Saccharomyces cerevisiae S288C: one gene and its partners. Changing the gene in region 1 together with any one later gene gives a genetic interaction. Each region holds a gene or a part of one and is shown in the gene's direction. Other genes may lie near its edges.

Region 1 (3,756 bases):
GGGAGCAGGAGCGCAGGCATCTTGTTTAGATTTTCGGCTTGGATAATGTTTGTGGTGATCAGTGGAATTTGTTGGGCAGTAAATTTCAGTTGGAATGATAGATTCATTCGTCTCTTTTGTTCTGGAGTCCTTGGTGCGGCGGAAATCAAAGCAAGTCACTTCTGCGTTAAGCGATGCGAAATTGCCGTCTGGAAATGACGATATGTGTGGAGAATGAGGAGGATTCCATGACGAATAAACTGATGAGGATGTGCTAACAGATGAGGTTAGTGAGGGTACCGATTCGTTGTTTTCTGATGCAGAGTCTGTTGTGGGAGATGTGGTAGCGTTATTTCTTTGCACAAGAGAAGATGGGAGCATAGCACGGTTGTGGGAGGAGGAAGAAAACATCACGTTGCAAGTATCGTTTACGGAGTGGGATAAGAGGTAGGAGGTTGTCATAGCGGTGCTTTCTTCCTGATGCATGGCAGAAGAAGTTGGCAGTAATTCGTTTATTATGGTGACATTGTCGTGATTAGAAAGGACTGTCTCTTTTACCATTGCCTCGGGTATGTTTTTTGGCGCCTGCCTTGAACTTACTCCAGAACAAGCCTCAGCAGAAGAATGACCGGAATGATTCCTCTTATACACGTTCCAGAGTGGAGCATTCTTGACATCATAAAAAAAGTTGCTGACAGGATCTTTGGACTGGTTGACGTTAAGTGGTTCCGTAGCTGGTCTGATGTTTTCTTGTACGGTATCACTGACGGCTGAGAAACCTTCAGAGGAACCGTTTTCGGGAACAGACTTGGAGGATTGCAAATTAAGCCATTGAAAGTCTAGCCCAACCTTGTTGCAGAAGGCCTTGAACTCCTGGAAAGATGTAGACATTATGTGGGCGAAAAACAAAATTAGACCAACGCTTTAGCAAATTTTTTCAACCTCAAATTGATATTTGAAGATTAGATCGGATGGTTTTTTTTCCTGTGGTGTAGGCCAAGCTTAAACAAGGTTTTAAGTGAAAGTGGAAATAATTGTGATAAACATGCGGAAAGAGTGCCAGCCTTAAATAATTCCGCATTGTTGCTATGTCGTTTTGTTTTTGTTTTTGTTTTCGTCTTATTGGTATTTGTTCATTTTACGACCACAAAGGATCCAGGGCTTCTACTTGCACAGGGAGGGTTGCTTGGTTAATACAATGCAAAGGTCAGAGATATTAAGATTTGTGAAGGGTGCATTCAATGAGTTTTTCCTTTAATGTGCCCTAGAAAGGAAGTAGTACGAACATTTCTCAGTCGGAGTTTGCCGGAAATTCGAATGACAGTGTAAGTTGATTTTTGTGGCACAGAGATAATGAGCGGTGGTTCTGGCACACATTTGTGACGTTGGTTTGATAGTGTGGAGGGAGGGTGAAAAACAGATAACAATGGTCTCTTGGCCCAGTTGGTTAAGGCACCGTGCTAATAACGCGGGGATCAGCGGTTCGATCCCGCTAGAGACCATTCTTTTTTTACATTTCTCGCAATGTGATTTATTTTGCTTACCCTTCCCACTGCCGTTACAAGGGAGGTGAACGAAGAGGCTTGTTAGCATAAGGTTTACGCGTTGCGGTTGTAAGCACAATGTTCTTACTAAACCTCTGAAGATTAATTATCCTAACGTATACTAATTAATTCAAAGAGAATATTTACTCGTTCTCTTTTCATCATTTTGTAACATAATTCTTTACGTATTTTCACTTCGTACTTTTTTCAACTTTTTTTGCCTTCGCTTCTTTTTTGTTGTAATTTTTCAATTTTTTTTTTTCATCGTTGGCCGTCTTTCCTTGTCCTTCATTTTCCTCTCGTAATAATCATTCAACTACGGTAAAGCATGCCTTTCCTTTTTTCTACTCTGCAGTTATTTTCATAATATCTACTGTTTCCATTTCGTGCTTTAAGTTAGAGTTTAATCTTCCCTTCTATCATCTTAATAGCAGGTTCATAATAAGAAGATTACCACATCTACTCTTTGTTCGATTCCAATGTCTGAAAATAACGAAGAACAACATCAACAACAACAACAACAGCAACCTGTTGCCGTCGAAACTCCCTCGGCAGTTGAAGCTCCAGCATCAGCAGATCCTTCTTCTGAACAGAGCGTCGCTGTCGAAGGCAATTCTGAACAAGCTGAAGACAATCAGGGTGAAAATGATCCTTCCGTAGTTCCTGCTAATGCTATTACCGGTGGTAGGGAAACTTCCGATAGAGTTTTATATGTTGGTAACCTAGACAAAGCTATCACCGAAGACATTTTAAAGCAATATTTCCAAGTTGGCGGACCAATTGCTAACATCAAAATCATGATCGATAAGAATAATAAGAACGTCAATTACGCTTTTGTTGAATACCATCAATCTCACGATGCCAATATTGCCTTACAAACATTGAACGGCAAACAAATTGAAAACAACATTGTCAAAATCAACTGGGCCTTCCAATCCCAACAGAGTTCCTCCGATGATACATTTAACTTGTTTGTCGGTGATTTGAATGTTAATGTTGATGACGAAACTTTAAGGAATGCCTTCAAAGACTTCCCATCCTACTTGAGTGGTCATGTTATGTGGGACATGCAAACTGGTAGTTCAAGAGGTTACGGTTTTGTTTCCTTTACTTCTCAAGATGATGCACAAAATGCCATGGACAGCATGCAAGGTCAAGATTTGAATGGTAGACCGCTAAGAATCAACTGGGCTGCTAAGCGTGATAACAATAACAATAATAATTATCAACAGCGTCGTAACTACGGTAACAACAACCGTGGTGGTTTCCGTCAATATAACAGTAACAACAATAACAACATGAATATGGGGATGAATATGAACATGAATATGAATATGAACAACAGCAGGGGCATGCCACCAAGTTCAATGGGAATGCCAATTGGCGCCATGCCATTACCATCTCAAGGCCAACCCCAACAATCCCAGACCATTGGTTTACCTCCTCAAGTAAATCCTCAAGCTGTTGACCACATCATTAGAAGTGCCCCACCAAGAGTTACTACTGCCTATATCGGTAATATTCCGCACTTTGCCACTGAAGCTGATTTAATTCCGTTGTTCCAGAACTTCGGTTTTATTTTAGATTTCAAGCACTATCCAGAAAAGGGCTGTTGCTTCATAAAGTATGACACTCATGAACAGGCCGCTGTTTGTATTGTTGCCTTGGCAAACTTCCCATTTCAAGGCAGAAACTTGAGAACCGGTTGGGGTAAGGAAAGATCAAATTTTATGCCACAGCAGCAGCAACAGGGCGGTCAGCCACTTATAATGAATGACCAACAACAACCGGTTATGTCTGAGCAACAACAGCAACAGCAGCAACAGCAGCAACAACAATAAATATTATGAAGAAAAGTGGAATGAAACAAAAAGAAAGAATAAAGAGAGGCAACCTACAAATCCCAAGATAAAATAAAAAAAGAACGACAAGAATCCATTCATTATATTATACTATTTTTAAAAAAAAAATTACTACGAAAAAGGGAGAGAAAAAGAAGAAGAAACTCAATTTACTATTGCTCGAAAAATAAAAGGGCCTATAAACTTACTCTATTTTTTTAGTTTTTCTGTGTCTTATTTCCTTCCTTCGTCACTGTTTAATTTTTAATACTATTATTTTCCTTTAAAATGTGAAAGTCATTGCTAATAGTGTGATAAAAATAAAGAACGTATTTTCTGAAGGCTTTCTTTATTATATTTCCTTTTTCCTTTCTTACCCTATTTTTTTTAAA
Region 2 (3,756 bases), on another chromosome or scaffold:
TTGCTGTTGTTGCTGGGGAGCAGAGAGTGGTGGAGGTGGCATAAACATCATTGGGTTGGGGTAGGCAAACGGGAACGGAGAATTGTTTGGAGGGGACGAAGGTGAAGAAACAGAAGAAGGTCTGTTTGCCTTCTTCTTTTTCTTACCATTTGAGTCTTCGGTGTCTTCATTTGCTGGAATCTGTACTGAAATCATCTGGGAGATGAAATTTGAAGGAGATCCGATCAAGTAGTTGGGGAAGTTTTGGTAATGAGGGCCCTGATGAAACTGATTGGGTGGGAAGCCGTTCATGTAGGGGGGGAAATTGTTATTTGCAGGCCCATCTTGTTGGTTAGGAAGCGCGACATTTGTGGCCCCAACAGCGGCTGGATTGTTACTAGGTCTAAATACTGGTGTGTTGGCTACGTTCCAGATATTTCTCTTGGGGTAATGAGCATTTTCGGACTCTAAAGACGCAGATGAGCCTGAATTTGAACTGGAGTGGTAAAGCGAACCACTGTTAGTAGTGTTCCTATTCAATTTGTTGAAGTTTTTGTCAGACTCGACATTTTGCTCGAAAGTATTCTGTGTGTCTAAGCTGGCGTTAGAGACGCTTTTTGATATGAATTGGGACTGAGTATTGACAGCGTCGGGTCTATCTTGAGATTCCAGTTCCCTTGTACCGTCAATCAAAGATTTTCCGAACTTCTCAAAAAACCCTTCCCCACCAGAGTTGTTGTTGTCATTGCCATTGTAGTAAACGGGACCAGCAATGGAAGCTGAATACTGGCCCAGAAGATGGTTGACCTTGTTGTTTTTCCCGAGATTAGCCGCAGTATGATGAGTATGATAGTTATTGTACGATGCGGATGACAGGGAGGCAGTGTCGGTTGATCTGTACTGGTAATAATTGCCGCCGTTACCAAAAAACTTTTTCGAGTTCGTGGAGAATGGCGGAGCAGTACCAACTGATAGGGCGGTTTTCTTGAAGATCGGTGAAGATTCACTGGAACCGTGAAGCAGCAAGATCTCTGAATCTACTTCATTTGCCGTGGTGAAACTCGACCTTCTGAAGCCGCCAATTTGCTGTGATCCAGCAGCACCGCCGTTCACAATGCCGGCCGCGGCGGCCTGACCGCCGTTGTTGTTACTATGGGACAGGGCGCTTAAAGAAGAAACTATGGATGCGAGTTCCATATCCATATCCATATCCATGTTCATTTCCATTTATACCCGCAATATTGCGTTATTCAGAAGAAATTTAAATGCGTAGTTCTTGTTTGTTTTCTTGTTTGCTTGCGTACTTCTATGCTTATAGATATATCAGTAGCAAGGAAGTTTCCTTTTCACCGCCTTTCAATGTTCCTATCTTTTTCTTATGTTTCTCTTTAGAGACCAGATGACCAGAAAAAAATTAGCTAAGCAGTGTTATACTATTTACAGTAGATATTCAAATATGTGCAGGCACCACTTATTTTTCTTTTTCCTTCTTTTCTTTGTTTTTTTTTTTCTCCTATTCATCAAGCTTCATACATCCAATATACATTCTCAAGTGTGCTAATGGTACATTTGGGAAATTATCTTCCTCTCTCCACAATTTTTAGAAGGAAAAAAGAAATGCAGTTCAGGGTAACAGAGTGCGCAATTACCGTAGATAGCGATCGGATGTTTATCTTTAGCCCTCTTTTTCTAGCTCAAACCCCGGCACGAATTTTTTAGGTCTTGCTGCTCTGCCCTCGGGCACTTTTCTTCGAGAAGTTCTGGGGCGGTCTGATCGGGAAAAAACGTTCCCTTTTCGGACGTATCGCAGGCAATGTGCAAAAGCTTATTATATACGAGAAAAGAAACGCGAAGGAACGAAAGAAGATGAAAAAAATGCAGCGATAAAATGATATTGTGGTTAATCTAAATTTATATATATATATATATATACATATATATATAGAAATCTATTGTTATACACAAAAATACTTATTTTTTAATATAGATGGCTGCAGATAAAGTAATAGTTTTATATATAGGTATATTTACTGCACAATTCACACGATGGGTGTTTCTGCGGTGTTGAAAAGAGCTAGGAATTTACTAGCAACGTTCATAGTCTGCTGTTTTATGGCAGTAGTGCTTGTTCTGGCGCTGGCACACCATTTTATAAATGAGCACAGAGACACTAGGAGTTCATCGACCCAAATCGAAGTTGATGACGAAAGTAAAAGAAACGTACACCATGACCATGTTCTCACTAGAACCAATGCATACGCGACGCCATACCTCGATCTGGAACATGACAAGAAAAACGGTATCGTCTACGATCATACAAGAACGGTTGTCCGTAAAAAGAACCACGAAGTGGGGTCCTCGTCACTGCATAAAAACCTTTTTCACAAATTTTTGACAAAGCTTATTTTTAGGTTTATCGAGAAGGAAAAAGTTACCGAAGGCGTAACGCAAGGAAAGTTCAATAATAGTAGCAATGAAATTGCCAATCATGAACCGGTTTTTGAAAAAATTCCTGTACAGTGCGACAATCCATTACAGAATCTAATCTTATCGGAAGACTTGACATTAGTTGCGGATCTTAATTATTATTTTAACCAGTACAATATTCAAATAGAGGAATTTAGATTGGAGACCGAAGATGGGTTTGTTATAGATTTGTGGCACTTGATACCAAAATATAGAACGACAGATTCTGACAAGAAGAAGAGGCCACCCATTTTGATGCTACATGGCCTTTTGCAAAGCAGTGGTTCGTTCGCATCCAATGGTAGAAAATCTCTGGCATATTTTCTGTATCAATCCGGTTACGACATATGGTTAGGGAATAACAGATGCGGGTTTAGGCCGGAATGGAACGAAGCGAAAGTACCGACACTAGCTTCCAGGTGGGACTGGGACCTTCGCGAGATGGTTAAGTACGATCTGACCCTTTTGATTGATACCGTGTTAGCTAAGACGCAGTTTGAAAAGCTTACTTTGATCTCGCATTCTCAGGGCACTACACAGGGGTTTATGGGCTTGGTCAACGAAGATAAGTTTTTCCCTCCCGGTTCGGGATCTAAAGAATCTTTTTTCACTTCTAAGATCGCAAACTATATTGCCTTGGCCCCCGCAGTGTATCCTGGTCCCTTACTTAACGAGAAATTGTTTGTTAAGCTTATGACAAAGGAAATCGAAAATCCCTGGTTCTTTGGTGAAACGAGCTTTTTTGAGATAATGATGATTGTAAGAAACTTGTGCGTTGGTGAGAGCTTGTTCTCCTTTGTTTGTTACACCATCTTCAATTACCTGTTTGATTGGAACGATACCCTTTGGGATACCGCATTAAGAGATCGCCATTTCCTGTTTTCGCCAGTCCATGTTTCAGTGAAGTTGATGCAATGGTGGCTGTCACCCGACCCCAACAAGGTAAGTTTTAAATTTGGTTCCCATAAGATGTTCCCCGACAATGTTAAGTGGTTTTCAGACGCATCAAAGGCCCCAAATATCTACTTGTTTGTTCCAAAGCAAGATAGATTGGTGGACGGAGAAAGACTAATCAATCATTTCGTCAATGTGGAGTCGAATGTCAACTACAAGATCTGGTACATTGATGAGTATGCCCATATTGATGTCCTATGGGCACATGATGTCATAGAGAGAATTGGTAAACCAATTTTACAGAATTTGAACAACTATTACTCCAAGAAGCCATCCAGCGCCTTTGAAAGTGATTGTTCGGACACAGAGGTGGAAACGGAGCTGGAAATGGTTGCTGAGAAGGCTTGAAGAGGAAGC
Region 3 (3,756 bases), on another chromosome or scaffold:
GAAGGAGTGATATCTGTAAGAGTGGAAATTAAGCGCCCATCTTTTTTATAATGTTGGCTGAACAGATATCCGGGTAAATGTTACTTTAACGAGTTTTTTTCTTTTGTCATATTTTCCAACAAGAGATTAATGAACATTTCTCGATGTAGCGTACATATTTATGTGTACAAGAAGTGGTGTGTGTTGATACTGCACTGTTTTATACAAGTTTTTATACTGCATATCCATATAGAATTGATGAAAATCTTCCATACTGTCGAAGAAGTTGTTCAATGGAGAACACAGGAGCTGAGGGAAACTAGATTTAGAGAAACTATTGGGTTCGTTCCCACAATGGGTTGCCTGCATTCGGGTCACGCTAGTTTGATCTCGCAGTCTGTGAAGGAAAACACCTATACTGTGGTCAGTATATTTGTAAATCCCTCCCAGTTTGCGCCAACGGAAGATCTAGATAACTATCCTCGAACTTTGCCAGACGACATCAAATTGCTTGAGTCGTTGAAGGTGGATGTTCTATTTGCTCCTAATGCACACGTGATGTATCCACAGGGAATTCCGCTCGACATAGAAGAGCAGAAAGGCCCTTTTGTTAGTGTTCTTGGATTGAGTGAAAAATTAGAGGGGAAGACGAGACCTAACTTCTTTAGGGGCGTGGCAACTGTCGTGACTAAACTATTCAATATCGTTATGGCGGATGTGGCTTATTTTGGGCAGAAGGACATTCAACAGTTCATTGTTTTACAGTGTATGGTGGACGAACTGTTTGTTAATACAAGGCTACAAATGATGCCTATTGTAAGAAACAATAATGGACTGGCTCTGAGTAGTAGAAACAAATATCTTTGTCCAGAGTCTTTAAAGATCTCTGAAAACCTTTACCGCGGGCTGAAAGCTGCGGAAAATGCTATTAGGAGACTAGCACCAGGGGGACGTCTCTCCAGATCAGAAATCATCGATACTGTGACTCAAATATGGGCACCCTACGTTGATTCCCACGATTTCAAAATCGACTATGTTTCCTTAGCAGATTTTAAGACTCTTGATGAACTCTCCGATGTTGAAAACACCAGCGAACAGCAGCCAATAGTCATTAGTTGTGCTGTATACGTGACTGACCGCGAAAAACCCGATACGGTCGTCAGACTAATAGATAACATCGTTATTTAAACTAGGTGATTGGGCCTTCCCGTGTCTGTGTTGCAGTATATACCACTCTTATACAGTATGCACGATATTCTTTTAAACCAACAACGGGATGATAGATTTCACGCTTGATGACTTTTTTTTTAGACGGCTGAAGGGACGACATCCCCATCGCTCAAAACACAAATATGGAAAGGACAAATCGTCTTTCACAGTTTGCATAGTAAAAGCAAAGTTTATACTACTTCAGCAAAGTTGAAGTTGTTTGGCACTTGTTTCGTGCTTTCTCAAATATCTTAGATCACCGTCTGTCTAGAGCATATATCTATTGTTTGACGCACCCCTTTTACAAAAAAAAAAAAAAGAAACAGATCTATTAAGTAATAAAAAAGTTATTTAGGAAATAAGGTGCAGTAAGCTTCCTGAGGCATAATCATTATACTTTTAAAATCTATATTTTTGGGTTATTGTTGAAATATTTTCTTACAAAGCCCATTTCTCGTTTTTGACAATTTTTCTTATCAGTTGTGACTTCTCTTATCGATAAGCAATATTGAAGTCCTAATCACAAAAGCAAAAAAAATCTGCCAGGAACAGTAAACATATGGTTTTGGAATACCAACAAAGGGAAGGTAAAGGATCCTCATCTAAAAGCATGCCACCTGATTCCTCGTCAACGACTATTCACACATGCTCTGAAGCACAAACTGGGGAAGACAAAGGCTTACTTGACCCTCATCTATCAGTATTGGAATTGTTGAGTAAGACAGGGCATTCGCCTTCGCCAATGGGACAGAACTTGGTTACGTCCATTGACATATCCGGCAACCACAATGTAAACGATAGTATATCAGGATCGTGGCAAGCCATTCAGCCTTTGGACTTGGGCGCTTCTTTCATCCCAGAAAGGTGCTCTTCTCAAACGACTAATGGAAGTATTCTATCATCTAGTGATACTTCTGAAGAAGAACAAGAGCTGCTTCAAGCGCCTGCTGCTGATATAATAAATATTATTAAACAAGGACAAGAAGGAGCAAATGTCGTTTCACCGTCTCATCCCTTTAAACAGTTACAGAAGATAATATCGCTGCCCTTGCCTGGTAAGGAAAAAACTCCTTTTAACGAGCAAGATGATGATGGTGATGAAGATGAGGCTTTTGAGGAAGATAGTGTGACGATAACAAAAAGCTTGACTTCTTCGACAAACTCTTTTGTTATGCCCAAACTATCACTAACACAAAAGAATCCAGTTTTTCGCCTTCTAATACTGGGAAGGACTGGTTCCAGCTTTTATCAATCAATACCAAAAGAATACCAATCTCTTTTTGAATTACCCAAATATCACGATTCCGCAACATTCCCGCAATATACGGGGATTGTCATAATTTTTCAGGAGCTGAGAGAGATGGTATCTCTGCTAAACAGGATCGTTCAATATTCTCAAGGCAAGCCTGTAATACCGATCTGCCAGCCTGGGCAAGTCATCCAAGTGAAAAACGTCCTGAAGTCATTCTTAAGGAATAAACTTGTTAAATTATTGTTTCCTCCAGTTGTTGTGACCAACAAAAGAGATTTGAAAAAAATGTTTCAAAGATTACAAGATTTATCCTTGGAATACGGAGAAGATGTGAATGAGGAAGATAATGATGACGAAGCTATACATACAAAGTCTCGGTCCTATTGTCGTAACAAAAAAGCCGAAAACTCAAAAAAGAAATCCCCTAAATCGAATAAAAAACCCAAGAGAAAGAAGCAGAAGTTCTTCACGAGCTGGTTCACTTGGGGCATTTCAATTACTATAGGAATTAGTTTTGGATGTTGTGTGACATACTTTGTCACTGCAGCATACGAACACCAAACAGTTAAGTCTTTAAGTTTGCGGCCCTCCATATTGGCCTCTTTACTTTCCTTAGATTCCTCTAGCGACACAATCAATACGCCCGCCACTGCATCTCCTTCTTCAACTGAGCAGTTTTTATGGTTTGATAAGGGTACGCTTCAGATAAACTTCCACTCCGATGGATTCATTATGAAAAGTCTTACCATAATCAAGGAGACTTGGGGCAAAATGAATACTTTTGTCTTGCATGCTCTTTCTAAACCTTTAAAATTTTTGGAGAACCTTAATAAAAGCTCTGAATTTTCCATTGATGAATCTAATCGGATTTTGGCACTGGGTTATATTCTATTGTAACCTTTTTCCAATATACACAAACATACACGTTCCTACTCACTTTTTTACTATCACTTCTGTTTCTCTCACTGCGTATCTATATTCCCCGTTTGGTTCCTTTCCTTAATTACATAGAAGCTTATCAAATATGAAAATTCTTTCATTATACAGGCAATTTTTTGTTTGGTTTCATAAATACATAAACAAACAGCTTATAAAATATTTCTTCTGTTAGCAAATTTAAGTTTCTTTATATATTCCTTACTTTCGCGTCTCAACACAAAAAAACAATTAAAAATCAACCATAGCGCATAGAGCGTATTCCGACGACTTCAAGGAAACTATCGCTGTAAATGTGAATGCATTTAGAAGTTACTATTATCGCCTTTGACATCATATTTGAAATATTCTACCTTCATGTACTTAAACGCCCAAATTAC

What was found.
Region 2: mutations in PUB1 (region 1) and YEH1 together harm fitness more than expected from each alone (negative genetic interaction), as found in Saccharomyces cerevisiae (2 studies listed by BioGRID).
Region 3: mutations in PUB1 (region 1) and ATG32 together harm fitness more than expected from each alone (negative genetic interaction), as found in Saccharomyces cerevisiae (2 studies listed by BioGRID).

The regions. Positions count from the first base shown.
Region 1 is NC_001146.8:600,905-604,660, forward strand, and holds PUB1 (Pub1p), read left to right. Parts: upstream 1-2,002; coding exon 2,003-3,364; downstream 3,365-3,756. Other genes in the region: YNL018C (uncharacterized protein), read right to left, coding at 1-870. UniProt on the Saccharomyces cerevisiae protein: May be associated with hnRNA within the nucleus and remains associated during nucleocytoplasmic mRNA transport, once the proteins are in the cytoplasm, disassembly of PUB1-RNA complexes may occur prior to PAB1 binding and formation of a translationally competent RNP complex.
Region 2 is NC_001144.5:123,509-127,264, forward strand, and holds YEH1 (sterol esterase), read left to right. Parts: upstream 1-2,025; coding exon 2,026-3,747; downstream 3,748-3,756. Other genes in the region: mRNA-binding protein PUF3, read right to left, coding at 1-1,206. UniProt on the Saccharomyces cerevisiae protein: Mediates the hydrolysis of steryl esters, thereby playing a central role in lipid metabolism.
Region 3 is NC_001141.2:73,765-77,520, reverse strand, and holds ATG32 (mitophagy protein ATG32), read left to right. Parts: upstream 1-1,747; coding exon 1,748-3,337; downstream 3,338-3,756. Other genes in the region: pantoate--beta-alanine ligase PAN6, read left to right, coding at 238-1,167. UniProt on the Saccharomyces cerevisiae protein: Mitophagy-specific receptor that recruits the autophagic machinery to mitochondria and regulates selective degradation of mitochondria.